3 linked regions of the Canis lupus familiaris genome follow. The protein of the gene in region 3 interacts with the protein of the main gene of each other region in a pairwise test. Links are inferred from orthologs where the notes say so. Each region holds a gene or a part of one and is shown on either strand. Other genes may lie near its edges. The genes, in order: MTUS2, ABCF3 and FCHSD2.

Region 1 (6,023 bases), on a different chromosome or scaffold from region 3:
GGCACTGTCGCCCCCACCAATGGGGCCTCTCCAAACCTCTCAGAACTACTAACACCACAGAAGCATTCACACTGTCCCATTTCTCTGAGACTCAAGTAGCTGCTAGAGGATTAAGAATAGGAAATACTTGGGGGAAAAGTATACATAAAACTTAGAAATTATTCTGTTTATTTTTAAAAGACAGAGAGAGAGAGAGAGAGTGAGTGAGTACAAACAGGGGGAGCAGCAGAGGGAGAGGGAATCCATAGGCTCAATCCCAGGACTCTCAACTGACTGAACCACCCTGGTGCTCCAAAATTATTCTATATTTTATGGATGGAGCAGAAACAATACAGAAAAGACATACACAAAACCAAAATCAGTAAGGGTCACAGAGAAAGAACTGCAGATGGTAACAAGATGTGTGCCGACATGTCCACATAAAATTTCTCTTGTGAATGCATTATTGCAGAGAAAAATCTAGGGGATCTTTTGGGGGGGTGGGGGAAGGAACCAAATTAATTTATTTGAAGGAATGGTACAAATGAAAGAACTTAGGTGGGCGTGTTGGTACAAGTTATAGAAAAGGTAAAGGTAACTCCAATGTGCTTGGTAACCAGGGGAGTCATCCTAGTGGCTATAGGGAAGCCAGCTGAGGGTTAGCTCTCATCACTGTCTCCCTGGGTGTGCTTGTCAGAGAGATACTCTATCATGCCAGATTTGAGGGCCTAATCTTGCACAAATTGGTTCCTTCTGCAGTGATTCAATGAGAAGAAAGAGAGTCTGGTTATTTAACCAGCTTTGGTCCTAGCAGCCCTGGGGAGGATAAGATGTCTGCCTTTTAAAGGCCTCACAAGGAGCACCCCAGCCTTAGCAAAGAGCCTAAAGAGAGCCTGATCCTTAGCCTTGGAGGTCGTGGTTAAGGTTTTAGAAATTTGAGAAAAACTCACATTAACCAAGCTCAGAGACTGATGTATAAGACCAGAATGGCAACCTGTCCACTGTGTGACATGCCACTGCCTACACAGCCAGACCCTTCATGTCCTTTGGCCAGAACATCCTTTTGCTGCAGGCCCTTATGTGAGAAGCCCACATAAAACAGGACAGCATGCAGCCCTGTATGGCGAAATGAGCCCCTGCCAAAAAGACTGAGTCCCCAGACTCTCCAGTTAGTGTTCTCTCTGCAGAGATGAGAGGTGGGAAGCCTCTCTCCAGCAGGCCCGGAGTCAGAGACAGCGAGGGAGCTGTGTGATCTAGAGCTCACAGACTGCCCCAGGGCAAAACAGATGATCAGCTGCTGGGGCAAGTGAGTGCTAGCCTTGGGCAAGATCTGCTGCTTAGAATAGATTCACCTCTTTTGCTGTGTAAGAGCTGACAACTTCTAGTGTAATAAGTACACTCTGTAAATATGTCAGTATATTCAATCAACCTAAGGTCCAACTTTGGACTTAGGTTTTCTATCTCTCAGAAGCTTCAGTTGCCTTTTGTTTGGAGCCAACATACACGAGTTCTTAATTCTGCTGTCATTCAACATTTACTGACGACGTATTTATGTCAAACACTGTTCTAAACTCTGGGGACCCAGCAGAGAACAACAAAACAAACAAACAAAAAAAAAACAGAAAAAAATTCCCTGTTCTCATGGATTTTACATTCTAGTTGATGCACCAAAAACAGAAAAAGTATATACACCAGATGGAGATAAGCACTAAGAAAAAAATCAACAAGGAAAGGGGTCTCAGAGAAGGTGAGGTGTCTCTCCAATGAAGTGACACTTGAACAGAAATAGAAAATAAAGGTGACAGCCACTGAGATATCTGGAAGAAGAAAATTCTAAACACAAGGAAGTGCAAAGATCCTGAGGCAGAAGAGGGAGAGGAGGTGAGCCAAGGAAGGAGAGGGGGTTGGGGAGGTTAGAGAGACAGACTGAGTCCATTCTAAAAGCTGAGCCTTCCTACATGCTTAAGCTTGTGTTCTGAGTGGCCTGGCTGACCTGAAGGATGTTAGGGAGAGGAGTGATCTGACCTGGCTTTCCTTCCAACTGAACACTTGCCTAGCTGCCATGAGGAGGTTGCTTTGGGAGACAAACCTACTTTCTGAGCTCTGGGAGGACAACTTACCACAGCACCCAGTAATGTAAAGGACAGCCCAGTCACAAAATTGGGAGGACATAGAAGAACATCTCCACACTATCCTTGTTCTGTGGCTTTAACTGAGTTACATAAATCCCTCCAAAGCTGTTTCTTCATCTAGACAATGATAAAAACTATAATCTCAACCTCCAGAAAATCACTACAAGGACTAGTGAAGATAGATAAAGATGAAATGTTATGTTGTGTGGGCTTGAAGCATAGTAGGTGCTCAACTAAATGTCAGTTGTAATTATTATTTTGACTCAAAACAAAGAGCCCATGCCTAACACATTATTTGCTACCCACTGTGTTTTTCCCATGTATGAATATGAATATCTTTCCATAAAGAAAATATTCCCCCTGAGAACATGAAGTCAGACCACTTTGAACAATATATTTATTTTGGACTTACCCTCCTCTCCTCACTGATCTGGTTTATACAAGACTTATGCTCACTTAAACATGGAAGCCAATTTAAGTGCATACTTAATTAACCTCACATGTATTATACTGAGTGGAATTTAAATGAGTCTCCTTAGATGTCAGCTGTACCTCACCACGATCATCACACTCTCTTCATCAAAAATGTCCATTTGTCCACAAGCTCCTCCCTCTAGTTAAGAACATCCATTTCTGTGCCAGTGGATTCATCAAAATCTGCAATTTGCTAAGGGAGGACATTGTGTTCACAGTTCCCAAAGAAAACACCTACAAACTTTACAGTGTTTAACTTAAAGATCATATCACAATGACAATCTCTTACCTCCTGTAAAAACTTTTCACTCATCTGACTGAAATGGTGCCCTGGGGGCTTGATCCCAGACACCATCAACCCAGAACTGAACACTCGTGGCTTTTGCAAGTCCGGCTTGTATTTCTCATAGAGACTGGCAGGCGGCTTTAGCTCACCACTTGCTGCCTTCTCCTCTTTGGGAAGAGGCATGGCACATGTGGGTGGAGCATAAGGAAGCCCCACTGGAAGCAGTGAAGTGTCCACTTGGCCGAGGGCCTGAGGACTCCTCCGGATGTAGGTGATGATCTTGGGCCTCACATGCTTGGGCTTGGGCAGAATGATGGGCTTGGGTTCTGTCCTCTCTTCTACTTTTTCAACCTGGTGGTTCTCCACTCCCTCCTGTGAGGAAGGGGTGTCCTCAGGATGCAGGAAGACAGGCTCAGGGATCCCACTGGGGCAGGTGCTCTTGTCAGGCACTTTCAGGGGGGTGTTCAACAACCATGCACTGTCAGTGGGGGGTGCAGTGGCTGAGGGTGACCTGGCATCTGCACCCAATGCGTCTAGGTCCTGAACACCGCCACTAGGTGGTGGAGGCTGGTGGGTCACATTCACAGTTGTCTCTGGATGGAAGGGTGCCGGGCCACTGAGAAGAGCCCCTGCTCTCCCCAGGGTGCTTTCAGTCTCAGTTGCCTTTTCTAGAATGTTCCTATCTTCTGCGACAGATGTCGTGCTCTCTTTGTGGTCACCTACTTCTGGGCTGCTGCTTTGAGGGCCAAGGGGCTCAGGGACCCCCGGGCTGTTCTCTCCAACAGAAGGGTCTGAACCACAAGCCGCAGCACTGACTACGTTCCCACTGTCCAGTACTCTCTCCTCACTGACATCTGAGGGCCTGCTGTCAGGTAGGTCATAGGGAATAAAAGATACATGCCCATCACCTGACGAAATGCTGCCAGACGCCACTTCATCCAACTTCCTAGCTGTGCTTGCTGAAATGCTGCCAGAGGGCTGCTTATCAGCAGCTGCCAAGGAAGCAGGGCCTTGCGTGGGGGTGGTCTGGAGAGAATCCTCCTCACCCAGGTGGCCTGCTCTCTTGTCTTGCTCACTCCTGCCTCTTCCCACACCAATGGGGTGCACACTGCTGTGTGACAGGCTACGTGCCCCGGTGGCAGCCTCCTGCTGTGCTTTCCCACCTGGATCCTTTCTTTCGAGGGGTAACATGCCACCTTCCTTTGGGCACCCCAGACACTCGGCCTGGATTGCCTTGAACTCCTGCACAGCCCTGGCTTGGACAAATTTCAGCTCCGGCTTGAGCTCTCCCTTCCCCTGACCTAATTGTGCTTCTGGCTTCCTCAGGACCCCCTTCAGTGCTGAGGCTGAATCCAGACCAGGCTCTGGATGGGCAGAATGTGATGTGCTCTCATTGCTCAAGTCTGGGCCCTGTGCCCTCTCCCTCTGGGTCTCTACAGGGGTGGTCTCCTTGGTTGCTGAGGTAGATGGTTTAGGATGACACACGCTCTTTCCTTCTGAGGTACTGTCAGCTGGAGGAGAAGCTGCTCCTCGAGAGGGGGCTGTCAACATCTTCTGTGGCCCCTCCCTGCCACTGGGCTCAGGACGCAGGGCTTCAGGGGAGTCCAGTGGCGCAGGCTGCAGACGCTGCCAGGTCAGGCTCCCACCAAGGCTTCCACCGTGCTCCTTCATGGGAACATCTGCTACAACGGCAGAGCTGCTCGCTCTTTCCAAAGAATGCCTTCGCAATTCCTCATTGTCAAGGGTCTTTGCCAACTTATCCTTAGGAGCATGCCGGGGAAGTTCAGCATCCCTTTTAGCCAAAACCTCTGGACTGGCCTCAGCCATAACATTCCTCCAAGTTGACAGACTTGGTCCCTGAACACTGCGAGGGGTCTGGAGGATATCTGTGCCTCTCTCCGTTGTGTGCTCGTCATGTAGTCCTCCGTGGACGGTCAGGGAAAATTTAAAATCTTTCAGACTGGTAGGGCCAGCCTGCGATCCTTTCCCAAAGCCCTGAAATTGGTGAAATTCCTTATTGAAATGGGTACTATTCTCTGGCTCGCTTGAATTTGCATTTCCAATTTCATCTGTCAGGTCACGTGTCTCGGACTCATCATGAGAGGAACTGACCTCCAACATGATTTGATTGGCATTTGTATCCCCCAGACTTAGGATACTCTCATTATTATTTTTCACTCCATTTCTGTTGTCCCGCAACTGAGCGTAACATGATTTCTTCGGAGCCACTGGGACACTCATTTTCAACCCTTCAGTGGGGGCTGCTGGCCATGCAGTCCTACCTAATGGAAAGAAGTTTCCTTCAAGGCTATTTGATTAATGGGAAATTCTCAAGCTGCTTCTTGCCCCCTGACAATGTCACATTGCAATACCACTTTAATCATTTTCAGAGCAGTCTTAAAACCAAGCATTGTCTTGACATACAGCAGGATGACTTATCTGTTAGGTTCCTGCTGAATGAGAGCCAATTAGTCCATAAGACCTAGAGAAAAATAAAAATAAAATCATGTTATTGGCACTGACAAATAGAGGTTCTCAGGAGAAAAAAGCATGGAAAATACAGATTTATTCATAATTTTCATATTATTATTTCATTCACTCAGTCCATAAATTTCTCCGAAACCTTTCTGATAGTGTGCCTGCTGGCCAACTATGGAGAAATTAAAACATAAAATGATTAATGTTAGAAATGGATTATAAAACATATTAAATCTTAAATTCAAATTTAAAATATCCACAGGTTCATACTTATACTGATATAAAAGGCTGGAGGAGAAGGAAAAGTTCTTCTTCACAGAATAATACCAACTAACATAAGAAAAATCATACCGTTAGAAAAAAAGTCACCATTTTGTAATCACCAAAGTAATAATTATCTTGCAACCAATGGCTGTGAAAAACATCAGGTGAATGATTGTTGGGGAACAGGATATTCACAGAATCCTAAGGTACCATTCTCCAGATTATTTATTATTTTTCAGAGAGAAAGAGAGAGAGAAAGCAGGTGCACATGAGCTGGGAGTGGGGGACGGGTAGAGGGAGAGGGAGAAAGAGAATCTTGAGCAGGCTCCATGTTCAGCAGGCAGCCTGATGCAGGGCTCAATCTCACAACCCTGAAATCATGACCTGAGCCGAAATCAAGAGCTGGATGC
Region 2 (6,805 bases), on a different chromosome or scaffold from region 3:
AAGGAACCTCAAAAACATTATGCTAAGTAAAATAAGTCAGGCACAAAACATCGTCATAGGATTCTGTTTATATGAAACGTCCAGGATAAGCAAATAGATTAGAGAAAGTAAACTAGTGATTGCCTAGGCCTGTGGGGAGCAATACTAATTTCCAACAATAGTATAAAATGCTCTGCTTTCCTGTTGGAGAGGAGACTAAAGCTGGTTTCTAGAAAAAGGGAGATCTAGAATGGGAGGACAAGGAGTGCCCTGCAAAACAAGAGAAGAAATTAAGAGAACAGAAGTCAGGGCCTGGTCAAGGGACCCTACTTACAGCTTCTCCAGCATCTTAAGTTTACTCTGCACTTGAGAGGCTCTGTTGGCATTGTAGCGAAACCGGTCAATGAAAACCTGTGGGTGGATAAATTTAGGCACTGGTCAGGTTCCCAACATTCCTGCAAACTCTAACACCCATGGGATGGGCCCCCCTCCCCCGCCCTGCCTGTCCCATATACCTGGATATGCTGGCGATACTGCTGCTGTGCCTCATATTCACGCTGCTGGTTGAGCAGCCGCTCCTGCTTGCTCTTGATGAAGGTCTCAAAGTCTCCCCGGTAGCCATCTAGCCGCTGGCTGTGCAGGTGGATGATGTCTGTGGCTATGGCATTCAGGAAGTTGCGGTCGTGGGAGACGACCAGGATTGTAGAGGGCCATGTCTGAGGGGTCACAGGATGGCAGGCCCAGTTTGAGATGGCAGTCATCTTTCAGCCCCCGCCCCAGTGTCTTAGAGGCAGACCTTCCCTAGACCTACTCTAGCATCTCTAGGCACTCACTTGCAGGTAATTCTCCAGCCACAGGATGGCCCTTACATCCAGCATGTTTGTGGGTTCTGGAAAAGTGTGGGAGGATACATTTGGGATGAAGAGCTGTAGAACCTGACTGAATATTTCCATCCTTCCCCATCCCAAAGTCAAGGTGCCCCATTTCAAACTCACCATCTAACAGAAGAAGATCTGGCCTATAGAAAAGAAGAATGTAAGCCTTGAGGTCTTAGGTCAGCAGCTTGTGACCTCCCATGAGCCAAGGCCCATCCTCCACAGTATCCACAATAGGCCCAGGAGACTCACCTAGCAAACAGAGCCCGGGCCAGGGCCAGTCGCATCCTCCAACCACCTGAGAACTCTCTAAAGAAACAAAACAAAACAAAACAAAACAAAACAAAAAACAGAGATCACATCAGGGATAGGTGTTCACCAGGATAGGTAGAGACAGAGCCAACAGTGTTCATGGCCAAGAATGGCAAGGGCCACTCACCGGGTGGGCTGCTGCTGCATTTTAGGGGTAAAGCCAAGCCCAGCAAGAATGACTGATGCCCTAGAAGTGAAGAGATTGAAGAACCTGGTTGAAACATGTAACAGAAGGGAAAGGTAAAATCTGAAAGAGGGAAGGGGAAATCTTAAATACCTGGCAGGTGCCTTGTCAGCCTCAATCTCCTCCAATTTGGCATATATTTCTGCCAACTGTGCAGCTTCTGAGCCCTCAGCCCTAAAGTGGGGATGGGAAAAAGAGCACTCAGCCTGAATGGGGGCACTCTAGGTGGAATGCCCCATAGTCTACGCAGTTAGAAAGCAGACCACTGACTGCCTGTTGCCAGGACAGGAACAGACTACAGGAAGCACCTGTTCAAGTCAGTGAGGGCAGTGGGCACTGTGGAAGGAACAGGGCTTTATAGCTCCACGGTGCCAAGTTCTAAGTTCTGCTGCTAAGATGAGCGTGCAAGTTATGGATTGTGGCAGTATGACAGGTACTCTGCAAAGAAGAGCCATGGATGCCAGGTGCTCCCCACCTGGAGTGCTTACCTGCCAGTAGCAATCTGTGCGCTGAGCTCCCGCTCCCTCTGCAGAAGGTCCTCTCTTACAGTGTCACTTTCTAGCACACTCTGCAGGGCAGGAGTGTCATCTCCAGCAACCTCCTGCTCCACGTGCAGTAGGGAAATGTGGGCTGGAACTCGCAGGCTCCGAGTGGCCAACATCTTCAGGAGTGTCGTCTTCCCCAGCCCATTTCGCCCCACCAGCCCATAGCGGCGGCCCCATGCCAGGTTCACATCTGCTCCAGCCAATAGTACCCTGCAGGGGTAGGAACAAGACAAAGGATGCTGCTCTAGAGGAACAAGACAAAGGGTGCTGCTCTAGAGACAGGTATATAGCAAATTTAACCACAAAACCTAATGTTATTTTAACCCTGTTTCATCTGTCCAAATTCTTTTAATTGGAAAAAGAAAAGTGCACCCCCCTGCCCCCCCACACACACTGCCACTCCCTCACCTATCACCAAAAGACACATCAAAGTTCTCGATTCGCACATCATATGATTTGTTCTTGCCAGATGATTCCAACCGACTCTCCTTTCTGCTGCCTGCCTGGCTGGCTGATGCCTCTTCCAAGACTCTTTCAAAGAGAGAAATGGATGGCTTTTAGCACTCCCAGCCACCCTTCCATTCCAACAGACTGCTCTATTCTCTTCTCAGCCCTTCTTGCTCAACTCACAGAGGAGTGCTGGTCTTAAGTGTGTCCTTCTCTGAGCGCTTCTCCTGCTTTGCCTTCAGTCGAGCCTCAGCCTTCTCTAGCTTCTTTGCATTCACTGTCTTAAAGGTCCAAACACAACCATTTCAGCCTAGGTTGTAGGCTCAGAAAGGAGCCCCAGAAAGAGCATCTTAAGTCACCCTGCTTTCAGGGAAAGACATAATCAGAAACCCCCCAGAAAGATCCTCCAGTATTTACAGTCAACCTTCACCCCTACCAGAGACCCCCCCCCCCTTCTTCCTCCTCCTCCTCCTCCTCACCGAGGACTGTTCCCTCTTTAGCAGTCCTGGAAGTTTGGTGCCACAGTCTGTAAGCGATAAGAAAAGCAGTCACCTTCTCCCTGAGGGAAGGGAAACTAACATTTTGAGTAACTAATATGAAGCAGGCACAGACACAGACATTTCAAGGAAAGTCTCACAATCCCAGAAATAGCTATCATCTGCCCCATACTTCAAAAATGAAAATAAAAAACACCTCCCAGATTGAGAATACAGAGACTGGGGCTGATAAGCAACTCTTAGAAGCTCGTGCAGCTGATTAGAAAGTCACAAAATTGGGAAATAAACCTAAGTCGGTCCAGCTCCAAGGCCCATAAGCTTCCTACCCCACCTAATAGCTTGGAGAACTCTCCAGCCCTACTCCCTTTATTAGTGGCCTTCTTTGCCCTCAGTGAAAACGTCAACTAGCTACTACATCCTTCTTGTGAGGAAAAGGGGTACCAAGAGTCCTGGGTTCCAGGGGATAGCTGCCTGGGTGGGGGGTGGAGGCTGAGACAAAGGCGGAGAGCAGCTAGTTCAGTCTTCCCTCAGTCTCACCGTAGTTTTCTGTTATCTTTGACAACTGGATGGGGGCGTCTAGTAGCACCTGGCTGTTTCCCTGGGTCTGAGGCTCATCCCTTAAGGGCAGGAACAGAAAGTGCAGTCAGGAACTGAATAAAAAGCTCTGCGGCCACCAGATCTTCTTCCCTTACGTCTTGTCTCTTGACCGTCCACCTTCCCACCGCCCCCACGAGCCCCCCTACCCTGGCACGTACAGGCGCAAAGTGTTGTACATGCGCTGGCACACAGCCCGGATACCCGCGTCATCCTTGCTGTCCCCGGACACCTCCTGCAACAGTTCCCCCACCGCTTCCACCAGGTCATCCACAGACTCGAAATCCGCGCTGCCGCTATGCAGGACGCCTGGGCCGGGCATGGCGGGTCAAGGAAGATACAGGGAAGGGCGGACATACAAGCGGTTTTAGTCCCCGAGCCACGCAAGGCCCCGGTCCGGGCTCCAGACCTAACCGGCCCTCTGGACGAGAGGTCACGCAGAGGAGAGGCCTAGCAGCGGTCCCCGGCACCACCCTCCCTCAGTCTTTCTCCCACTGGTTTCCATCTCGGCTTCGCCAGCGCACGGATCCGGTTCGGCTCACCCGTCACGTAGTCGAAGACCTGTCCGTCAATTTCGGGGAACTCGCTCCGCAGGATTTCAGCGCAAGTCGCCATGTTCCGGTCGGGCTCCCGTCCGCGCAGGCGCAGTTAGACCGCAGCCCAGACGCGCCTCCCGCCGGTCTCCCAAGAGCTCGCCTCTCCTTCCAAAGCGCATGCGTGGTGATGACGTAAGAAAGGCGCGGAGTGCCCGGAACCCCGTGGACCGGGTGGACGGGGCTGGGGGAACCGTGCGCAAGCGCCACTCAGAGCCTACGCTAGAGCTTCTCTCTCTGCGCTTGCGCAACGCTGTTTCCGCTGAAAAATTAGCCACATGTGCGGTTCTCGCTGCCTTCTGGGAGGCAGAGTTCCGAGAGGCGGCGGCGGCGGGGGCGGGGTGCACGGGAGCTCGCGGCTTATCAGGGCGCGATACACTGATGGTCCGGCGGGCGGGAACCTCCCAAGAGTCGGGCGGTTGATAATGCGCACGGGTCTCGCTAGATCCTCTGCATTCCCTTAAGCGCGTCTGTCTCATCGCGCCCAGCTGGCCGGTTTTGGGGGCCACCGAGAGCTTTGCTGACTCATGCTCGTCTCTAAGCTGTCTGAAGTCCGCTGCGCAGTTCTGGCGGCCCACCGGTTTTGTTCTGGGCCCCGGGACCTGCGGACCGGGCTTCTAGTATCCGTGTGGCCAGCCTCATCACCCCTGACAGTTCGGCAGTCCTAACGTCGCCCAAGGGCACAAGCTCACTTAGCGCCAAAGGGCAAGAAAATGAGATCCGCCAGTGCAAATTCATTGGTATTTATTCCGTTCCTACTCACTCAAAACAGACTTCTCGGCACCAGTAAGCTCAGTAAGCGAGCGTATAGAGCTACTTTGTTTCACGGATTCCCTCTAGAAGTTAGGAATTTCCCCCAAATGACGCTGCTTTACATTTAACGTGACATTTACATTTACCGTAACCTAGCTCTAAGATTTTCACCTAAGGTCTATTATCCTTTTGCCATTGAGAAGATTCAGTCCAACTATTTAAAAAGCTGAGGGGCCTGACTTGCTCAGTCCGAGAAGCATGCGACTCTTGATTTCAGGGTTGTGAGTTTGAGCCCCATAGTGGATGTAGAAATTAAATAAAACTTTAAGGGATCCCTGGGTGGCGCAGCGGTGTGGCGCCTGCCTTTGGCCCAGGGCGCGATCCTGGAGACCTGGGATCGAATCCCATGTCGGGTTCCCGGTGCAGGGAGCCTGCTTCTCCCTCTGCCTATGTCTCTGTGTGTGACTATCATAAATAAATTAATTAATTAAAAAAATAAAACTTTAAAAAACAAAGCTTAAAAAGCTAAGCTACTAGATCTAGCAACCACTTTATGGGCGATAGAAAGGAATTCTGATGGGGAAACTACAAATGATGGCTTCTTCAACAGTATTCCAAGAGCTGAAGGGTAGTAGAACCTATGGTTTATAAGATTTAAAAAGTGAGAGGGGTGCCTGGGTGGCTCAGCTGGTTAAGTGTTGGATTCATGATTTCCACTTAGGTCTTGATCTTAGGATCATGAGATTGAGTCCCACATTGTGCTCCACGCTGGGCAAGGAGCCTGATTAAGAGCCTCTCCACTCTCCCTCTGCCCCTTTCCTGCTCCCTTCCTCAAATAGATGATAGATAGATAGATAGATAGATAGATAGATAGATAGATAGATAGATAGATAGATAGATAAAGATACCTAGATTAGATAGATTGCATTCACTGACCACAATGGACCTTTAGATCCAGATGCAAGTTGTAAAAAATTCCACAGGACTCTTAAGTGTGCCATGAGTTGATAATTGTTAAAATTGAATGACAGGACCTGAAGGTTCACTGGATCTTGATACTTCTATTTATATTTGAAATTTTCTCTAATAGATTTTTTTAAGGTTTAAAACAGTTGGAGCCAAACAAGGGAAAGATGATGACAGCAAATTTGCTTTTATCTGCTCCAACACACAGCAGGGCATGGAATATTCCCTGTAAGAACAAGCTTATCACAAAATTCTTTGGACAGGGAAGTTATAGAAAGGAGAATCCCTTTTATCACCCACTCACCAATGTTTGGAAAGCTTGAGTAATAGGGAAGAGGACAGAACTGAGAGGTCAGTTTCTTAGGACGGTGGGAAAAATAAAAACAAATGTAAACCTTGCTCAATCTCTAATTAAAAAATACCTGCTTAGGGACATCTGGGTGGCTCAGCGGTTGAGCATCAGCCTTTGGCTCAGGGTCTGCCTATGCCTCTGCCTCTCTGTGTCTCTCATGAATAAATAAATAAAAATCTTAAAAAAAAAAAAAAAGGAGAAAAAGAAAATACCTGCCTAAAACTGAAAGTGAATGAGGAAAAGAATCTCCACTCTCTGGGAACTGGGACCAGGTGGAGCTGCTTGCCCTTCAGATTGTGTTTTGCGGGGGGAGGGGAGACAGGAGACCGGGGGTAACACCAGTCAGGATAAAGGCTTGGATGACCTCAAGGGGCCTAACAGTTGAGACATGACAAGAGAAGAGCCTTAAGAGAGTTCAGAATATAAACTTCTACTCATAGCAGGCAGCATAAGATCTGGGAAGAGAAATACCATCAGTTCCCCTCCCCATCAAGCTCCCGCAAGAACACTTAGCAACTCCGCTCTACAGAGTTTATTGGGTTTATAACTGGACGAAGTCACACGTGTACAAAATGAAGCTCACACTATCCCAAAGCAGAATAGGGATTGAGGGCTGGGGATCCGTTACTGGCCTTTGGGGGAGCTCCGAGGTGAGGGGCAGCCAACCCTCCCACTCCAGAGATGTGGCCACAGGGGAGGGGAGGAGAG
Region 3 (6,023 bases):
GAGGAGGAGGAGTGTGCAGTACAATTCACTATCTGTATATATCTCATTTGTTGTAGATTATGATCTACATAGGAACTGTATCTATTACTAAGAGCATAGGAACTGTATTATTTTATCTGTTACTAATACCTTCTTAAATACTACACAAGAATTCTATGAGGATTAGCAAATGAAACAGAAACCAGGAACTTAAAACCTTATATCTGAAAATTCAGGTGCAATTCAGACTATTTGGATAATGACTACAAAAAAAGAGAGAGAGAGAGGAGAGAGAGAGAGAATTAAAAATACCCCAAGCAGTCTTTGTTAATCTTGAACAGGCTTTCTCAAATTTAAAAGTTTGTAGCCTTTTCTAGATCAAAATGAATAGGAATCTGATTAATAAAAACAGACAAAACCCCCAGGAAATATGAATATGGCAAGGTAGAAAATAACAGGAGTATATTGAACTCCTTTTTTTTTTTTTTTTTACCAGTGGGGAAGTAGTTAGGATGCATTAGTGTATGTCCCTGATTGTTTCTCTTTTGTTAGAAAGATGATAGGCTGTTTTTGCTATCCTCCTTGAATTTGCTCTGCAGAGACTTGTTTGTTCCACCCTACATTCCCAGGTGGTCTGCAGCTTTACTTTGTATTATGGCATAGCTTCCAGCACATGAACTGAATTCTCCCATGGTAATCACCATGACACTGCAGTCAAGACAAATATTGCAGCTTCAAAAATCACTGGTTGTGAGAGTGTTGTTATTCCTTACTGTTTGTCTGTTGACTTTCTCCTTCTGGTTATCTCTAGCTGTTTGGGTAAAACCAGCATATTTTAACTCTTGATTGTTAGATTATGGTTTCTTTCCCAAACTGAAAGGGATTGGAGGAAATAAGGGCATCAGAATGGGAAAAGATTAAACAGAACAAAATCATATAGGGCAGAGAGTCCAAGGACTTTCTCACTGTGTTTCAAGTAGTATGTTAAAATTGGAGGGAGCACACAAGGACCCAAACAGGAAGAAATTTAATGGGAGAAATAATGGAATTAAGGGCTTTCAAGAGCCTAATATCATACTGTAGGTTGAATTGCAGATGTTGTGACGTCCTATTGCAGATGGCCCTAAAAGCCTGCTAATTTTTGGCTCCATAGATTGGTTATCCCTAGGTTTCTTTAAGCTTTCTTGTAGGAACTAAAGTGTGTGTAATTATATGATACAGAGAGTAACTTATAGTTTGGTGGCTCTTGTTTATTAGGAGATACCAATATATTTGTCAAATTGTATTTTTGTCATTCAGAATATTTTTTATTAAATATCCCAATATTTCCTGTTGCACTGAAATATTCTTCCTATAGTAAAATAAAGGAAAATAATCATTGCTCTTGGTTTTCCATTTTTTAGTTCTCTTTTGGAATAGCATTGTGGAACAGTGTCACTGTTCCAAATTCCAAAATTTGGAATTATACTTAATAAGTTTAATATGATGTAATTTGATAACTTATTAAACATATTGTATTTTGTTTTATTATAGATCTAAACTTAGCCTTTTTCAATCAAGAATCAGTTTACAGAAGGCAAGTGTAAAGGTGAGTTTTTGAAAACTATATTTCACAATTGAGAAACCTTAGCTTATTAAGAAAGAATTGAGGTTTTTTTGAGGGTTGAAGGCAATTATTTCCACCTAATTTAGAGAAACATTTTTAAGTCATTAACTTAGAGAAGAAGTTTCCTTCCCAATTCATATGAGTTTTTCACCTAGATGTCAGCACTTTGGGTACTGCTTGCTTCTCAAGATTGCGGTAGAGATAGGTATCTGTATCTTAGCTGCTTAGGTAGTCTGTTGTCTATAACTCTTAGTCCAAAAGACTAGTCCATGGGCTTTAGAGATCTACAGAATCTATTTCATTCAGATTTACACCACTGAGCAGATATTCCGAATCAGATGCAAGTGAGATTTTTCCTCTGGGACCCTCAAGCTGTAGAATACCTGTTAAGTAAGTTTAGCGATCTGCCAGGATTCTAACTAGCATGAAGTTCTTTTAGCACATGAGGAGTGCTAATTTTTTAAAAAAGATATTCTAACTCCAACAGATTTACCCATGTCTTTAAAGAAAAGGCACTTAATTTGGGAGCCTTTATTTTCCCATCTGAATAAAAGGAGCAAAATACTTTGAAGTTTTCTGAGGAGCTTTGGGAGTATGTTAAGTATAAATAACAAATATGTGAAAACATTCTCACCATGTAATTCTTCAACTAAATAGTAATGAATATTTTTATATGTGAATAAATATTCACATGGTTATCTTTCCTCTTGTCAGGGAGCCATTAATTGCCAGCTAAAAATGGTATCCTCATATATTATACAGTACAATGTCAGTTTGCAATGATTTTTTTCTCTTATTACTATGTTTCAGTTAAAAGCCCGGCGATCTGAATGTAATTCTAAAGCTACCCATGCAAGGAATGATTACCTTCTTACATTAGCAGCCGCAAATGCACACCAGGATCGCTACTATCAAACAGATTTAGTTAACATTATGAAGGTAATACAGCCTTTATATCTGTGGTCATTTGTTTCATTAAAGACAAAAACAACTCATGAGTTGACTATTAGATAGATAGACTCTGTAGAAGAGCAACCAGGCTTCCTTGTAGTTCATTGAAGTTAATATTGTTTGTGTAACTTCTCTTTCAGGTAATTCTGAATTAATTCTTAATGTAAGAAAGTATTTAAAGCCAGATCACAGTAAAGGACTAACTATATTAGTCTCTAGCAGTGGCAGATATTTGCTGTATAATGGTTATCAATATATAAGATAGAAAATAGGATTATTTTTTTGAAGCTTAGATTTTTTTTTAATTTCATAATTTTATCTTTAATTGATATATAAACTTGTACGTTAATGTTTTATGCTTTGGAGGTACCCATGAGAAGAGAAAATATTTAGTAGTTATATGAAAATGTCTCTACCGTAGTTAACACTGAAGTATAGATAGATCATATTACACTTTCTTGGGTACTCAAACTTATTATTGGTTTTTGTCTGTTTATACATATATATGTATCTTTATTTTTCACTGAAGTAAAAGGAAAGTGGTGAAAAAGAAAACCTTTATAACCTACTACCAGATTTCCACTATTTCTGGTATACAATTTCTTTTTCTTTCTTCTTCTTCTTCTTTTTTTTTTTTTTTTTGATTTTATTTATTTATTTATTCATGAGAGACACAGAGAGAGAGAGAGAGAGAGGTAGAGACACAGGCAGAGGGAGAAGCAGACTCCATGCAGGGAGCCTGACGTGGGACTCGATGCCGGGTCTCTAGGATCACGCCCTGGGCTGAAGGCGGCACTAAACTGCAGAGCCACCTGGGCTACCCCCATTTCTGGTATACAATTTCTACATAGAGTGTGTCTCATTTTCTCCTGGCTTCTCGAGGACCCAAACATTTGATTATTTTATCTTTCTCTTGTATTTTCAACTCATCCTTTTCAAGCAGATTGTTCTTACTATCAAGACACATTAATTGAATTAATTGCTTTACAAACCGTAAGCATTGAGAATGGGGATGTAACAGGAGTAGGTGCTCTTTTTTCCTACTGTGGCTTCTAGGAAAGAGATAAATTCTGTCTAGAAAATATATAAGTTCTTTCCTCAAAAGTAGACAGGACATTTCCTGGTATCTTCAGGGAAAAACAGGAGTGATACAGAGCGTCAAACTGGGCTAAGGAGTATCCAGTTGCAAAATTTTTTCTTTCGTTTTTCGATATTGCCTGAACTCCTGTTTTCCTAGCTTCTATCCTGTTCAGAATTCTACTGGTTAGAGTACACGTGGTAAGAGAGACAGGGGATTGTTTTGACACCCCAGATGAGAATTCAGCATACATTTTCCCCTAATATGTTGGACCTAGAGGTTTAGGCATTTTAGTACCTTATTAGGTGTTACATGGTGCTTCAGATTTATAAGAACCAACTAGAGAATTGGCCTCCCATTATAATGTGGTTTCTCTAGGGAAATATATATGTATACTCAGTCTTAGACAACTCACACTTAAAGTTGTGATTCTCTGTATACTGTCTGTTAAAGCTGTTAACAATATATTTCCCCTTTCAATACATTAAATTGAACATATAGTTGAGGCAGCAACCAAAATAAAATCTGTTTTTTAAATTGAATCCAGAGCCAAAAAAAGAATTATTTCTTAATAAAGCCCTGTAGTCTTTGATTAAACTGGGAAAGGTATTATTTTGGGTATTATTTCGTGCCCTCTGCCCGAAACAAAAAGGGAGTTAATGGGCCTGGCCAGCTCTCAGATTATATATTTTTGAACTTGCTTCAAAGTCTTAATGCAGATATTTGATCAGCATTGGGCATGTTATGCTTCAGATTACTCATTTCATGAGACATTGCAAGGTACTGGTATGATAAAAATAGAGACAGGAGTCCTCTTTTGTCTCCTAAAAACAGACAAGAATATTCTCAGTTTTCATGTTGTGTGTATATTAATTCATTTTCTTCCTTATGTTAATTCTGTAGTCTGCAGTATTGGAAAACTGTCATCAATCATATTGTTAGCTACTTAGTAAGTTTCTATCATTGAATGGACAGTGGCCCTTCAGGGCCTTTCTTAGAAATGTCTTATTTTCTCAATTGTTGCTAAAGTTATAATACCTTAGGTAGAATCTTTTTAAAAAGTTGTATGTGGGGATCCCTGGGTGGCTCAGCGGTTTGGCGCCTGCCTTTGGCCCAGGGCATGATCCTGGAGTCCCGGGATCGAGTTCTGCATCGGGCTCCTGGCATAGAGCCTGCTTATCCCTCTGCCTGTGTCTCTGCCTCTCTCTCTCTCTCTCTCTCTCTCTCTCTCTATCATTTAAAAAAAAAAATCTTTAAAAAAAAAGTTATATGGATAGCTTGGAAGCAGATTTTGATTCATTGATTTAATCATATGCATTTAATAGTCACTTACAGTGTGGTAAGTACTAGACTACACTTTGGGAAGAAGCAAGGATGAGTAAGACACTTTATCCTCAAAGAGCTCTGTCTGGTGGAAGAGAGAAATACATAGAAATGATTACAAATTAGAATGATGAAATTACTGCTAGAGGACCCTAATTAGTAATATTAATACCTATCCTTTTTTTTTTTTCATTGCTTATACTCTGGCATTATCCTAATCACTTTAGGTTTATTATCCTTATCATTTTTTTTCCTGGTTAGAGTTCATAGTTCCTTGCTTAAATAGCACTCTGGCCTATAAATGAAATTCCAACTCAAGATAAACCCAGATAACCTCTTTCTTTGTACCTGCATCTAAGTAGCCAGGTACTACCGAAGACAATCTTTGAACAGACAGAACACATTCATGTTCATAAATTAATGTGGAACCAGTCTCAGATAGACCCTGAGCACTGTGAGACATCTACTACGTTTCCCTGGTTCACTTTTGCTAATATTTTTAGCACTTTTTTCAACGTTTTTCCATCTCAAACCTCAAATTTGCCTCTTCTCTTTCACATTAGCAAGTGGGTTTCTTCCTAATTTACAGAGAAAATAAAAGCCATTAATCGGAAAGTCCACTGTTTTCTCATTATCTGCTTTCGTGTATGTTCGAGATTCCTCCAAGGAACCTCAACAGAAGAGTTGTTCCTCCTATCTAAAGATGATCTTTTCACCTGGGTTTTGGATATCTCATTCCCTCCTGCCTTTTCAGGATCAAAACAACTGTTTATTCAATTTCTTTCTTACATTTCTTGAATGTTGTATTCTTAGGTTAAAAGTAGAAAAAAAGTGTAGAAGAGACCTTAAATGCCTGAGAGTTAGAGTGTAGTAACTGTTGGGAGCTAACATGGGCAGGTACTCTGTCTAGATTCTTTAAATACATTCTTTCATTTAGTTTTCATAACACCTTTTGAGCTAAATATCATTATCCCTGTTTTACAAATCAGATAGCAGAGCCTCAGTGAGGTTCAGTGAATATGTATATAATAGCCAGGACTTAAATAAAATTCTGTGTCTTCAGAGCCTGAGTTCTTTACTATATAT

What was found.
Region 1: the proteins of FCHSD2 (region 3) and MTUS2 interact in binary tests that used the Homo sapiens proteins (3 or more experiments, as listed by UniProt). The two-hybrid records come from large-scale screens. The link is inferred for Canis lupus familiaris from reciprocal best matches to the Homo sapiens genes FCHSD2 and MTUS2.
Region 2: the proteins of FCHSD2 (region 3) and ABCF3 interact in binary tests that used the Homo sapiens proteins (3 or more experiments, as listed by UniProt). The two-hybrid records come from large-scale screens. The link is inferred for Canis lupus familiaris from reciprocal best matches to the Homo sapiens genes FCHSD2 and ABCF3.

Annotation. Positions count from the first base shown.
Region 1 is NC_049246.1:10,819,058-10,825,080, forward strand, and holds part of MTUS2 (microtubule-associated tumor suppressor candidate 2), read right to left. Parts: intron 5,354-6,023; 5' UTR 5,113-5,353; coding exon 2,875-5,112; intron 1-2,874. UniProt on the Homo sapiens protein: Binds microtubules. Together with MAPRE1 may target the microtubule depolymerase KIF2C to the plus-end of microtubules. May regulate the dynamics of microtubules at their growing distal tip.
Region 2 is NC_049255.1:17,251,807-17,258,611, reverse strand, and holds the start of ABCF3 (ATP-binding cassette sub-family F member 3), read right to left. Parts: upstream 4,138-6,805; 5' UTR 4,049-4,137; coding exon 3,976-4,048; intron 3,743-3,975; coding exon 3,595-3,742; intron 3,457-3,594; coding exon 3,377-3,456; intron 2,902-3,376; exon of another isoform or gene 2,869-2,901; coding exon 2,822-2,868; intron 2,624-2,821; coding exon 2,526-2,623; intron 2,427-2,525; coding exon 2,304-2,426; intron 2,106-2,303; coding exon 1,839-2,105; intron 1,525-1,838; coding exon 1,444-1,524; intron 1,354-1,443; coding exon 1,294-1,353; intron 1,164-1,293; coding exon 1,107-1,163; intron 998-1,106; coding exon 975-997; intron 869-974; coding exon 813-868; intron 696-812; coding exon 495-695; intron 391-494; coding exon 314-390; intron 1-313.
Region 3 is NC_049242.1:25,369,245-25,375,267, forward strand, and holds part of FCHSD2 (F-BAR and double SH3 domains protein 2), read left to right. Parts: intron 1-1,512; coding exon 1,513-1,567; intron 1,568-2,395; coding exon 2,396-2,524; intron 2,525-6,023. UniProt on the Homo sapiens protein: Adapter protein that plays a role in endocytosis via clathrin-coated pits. Contributes to the internalization of cell surface receptors, such as integrin ITGB1 and transferrin receptor.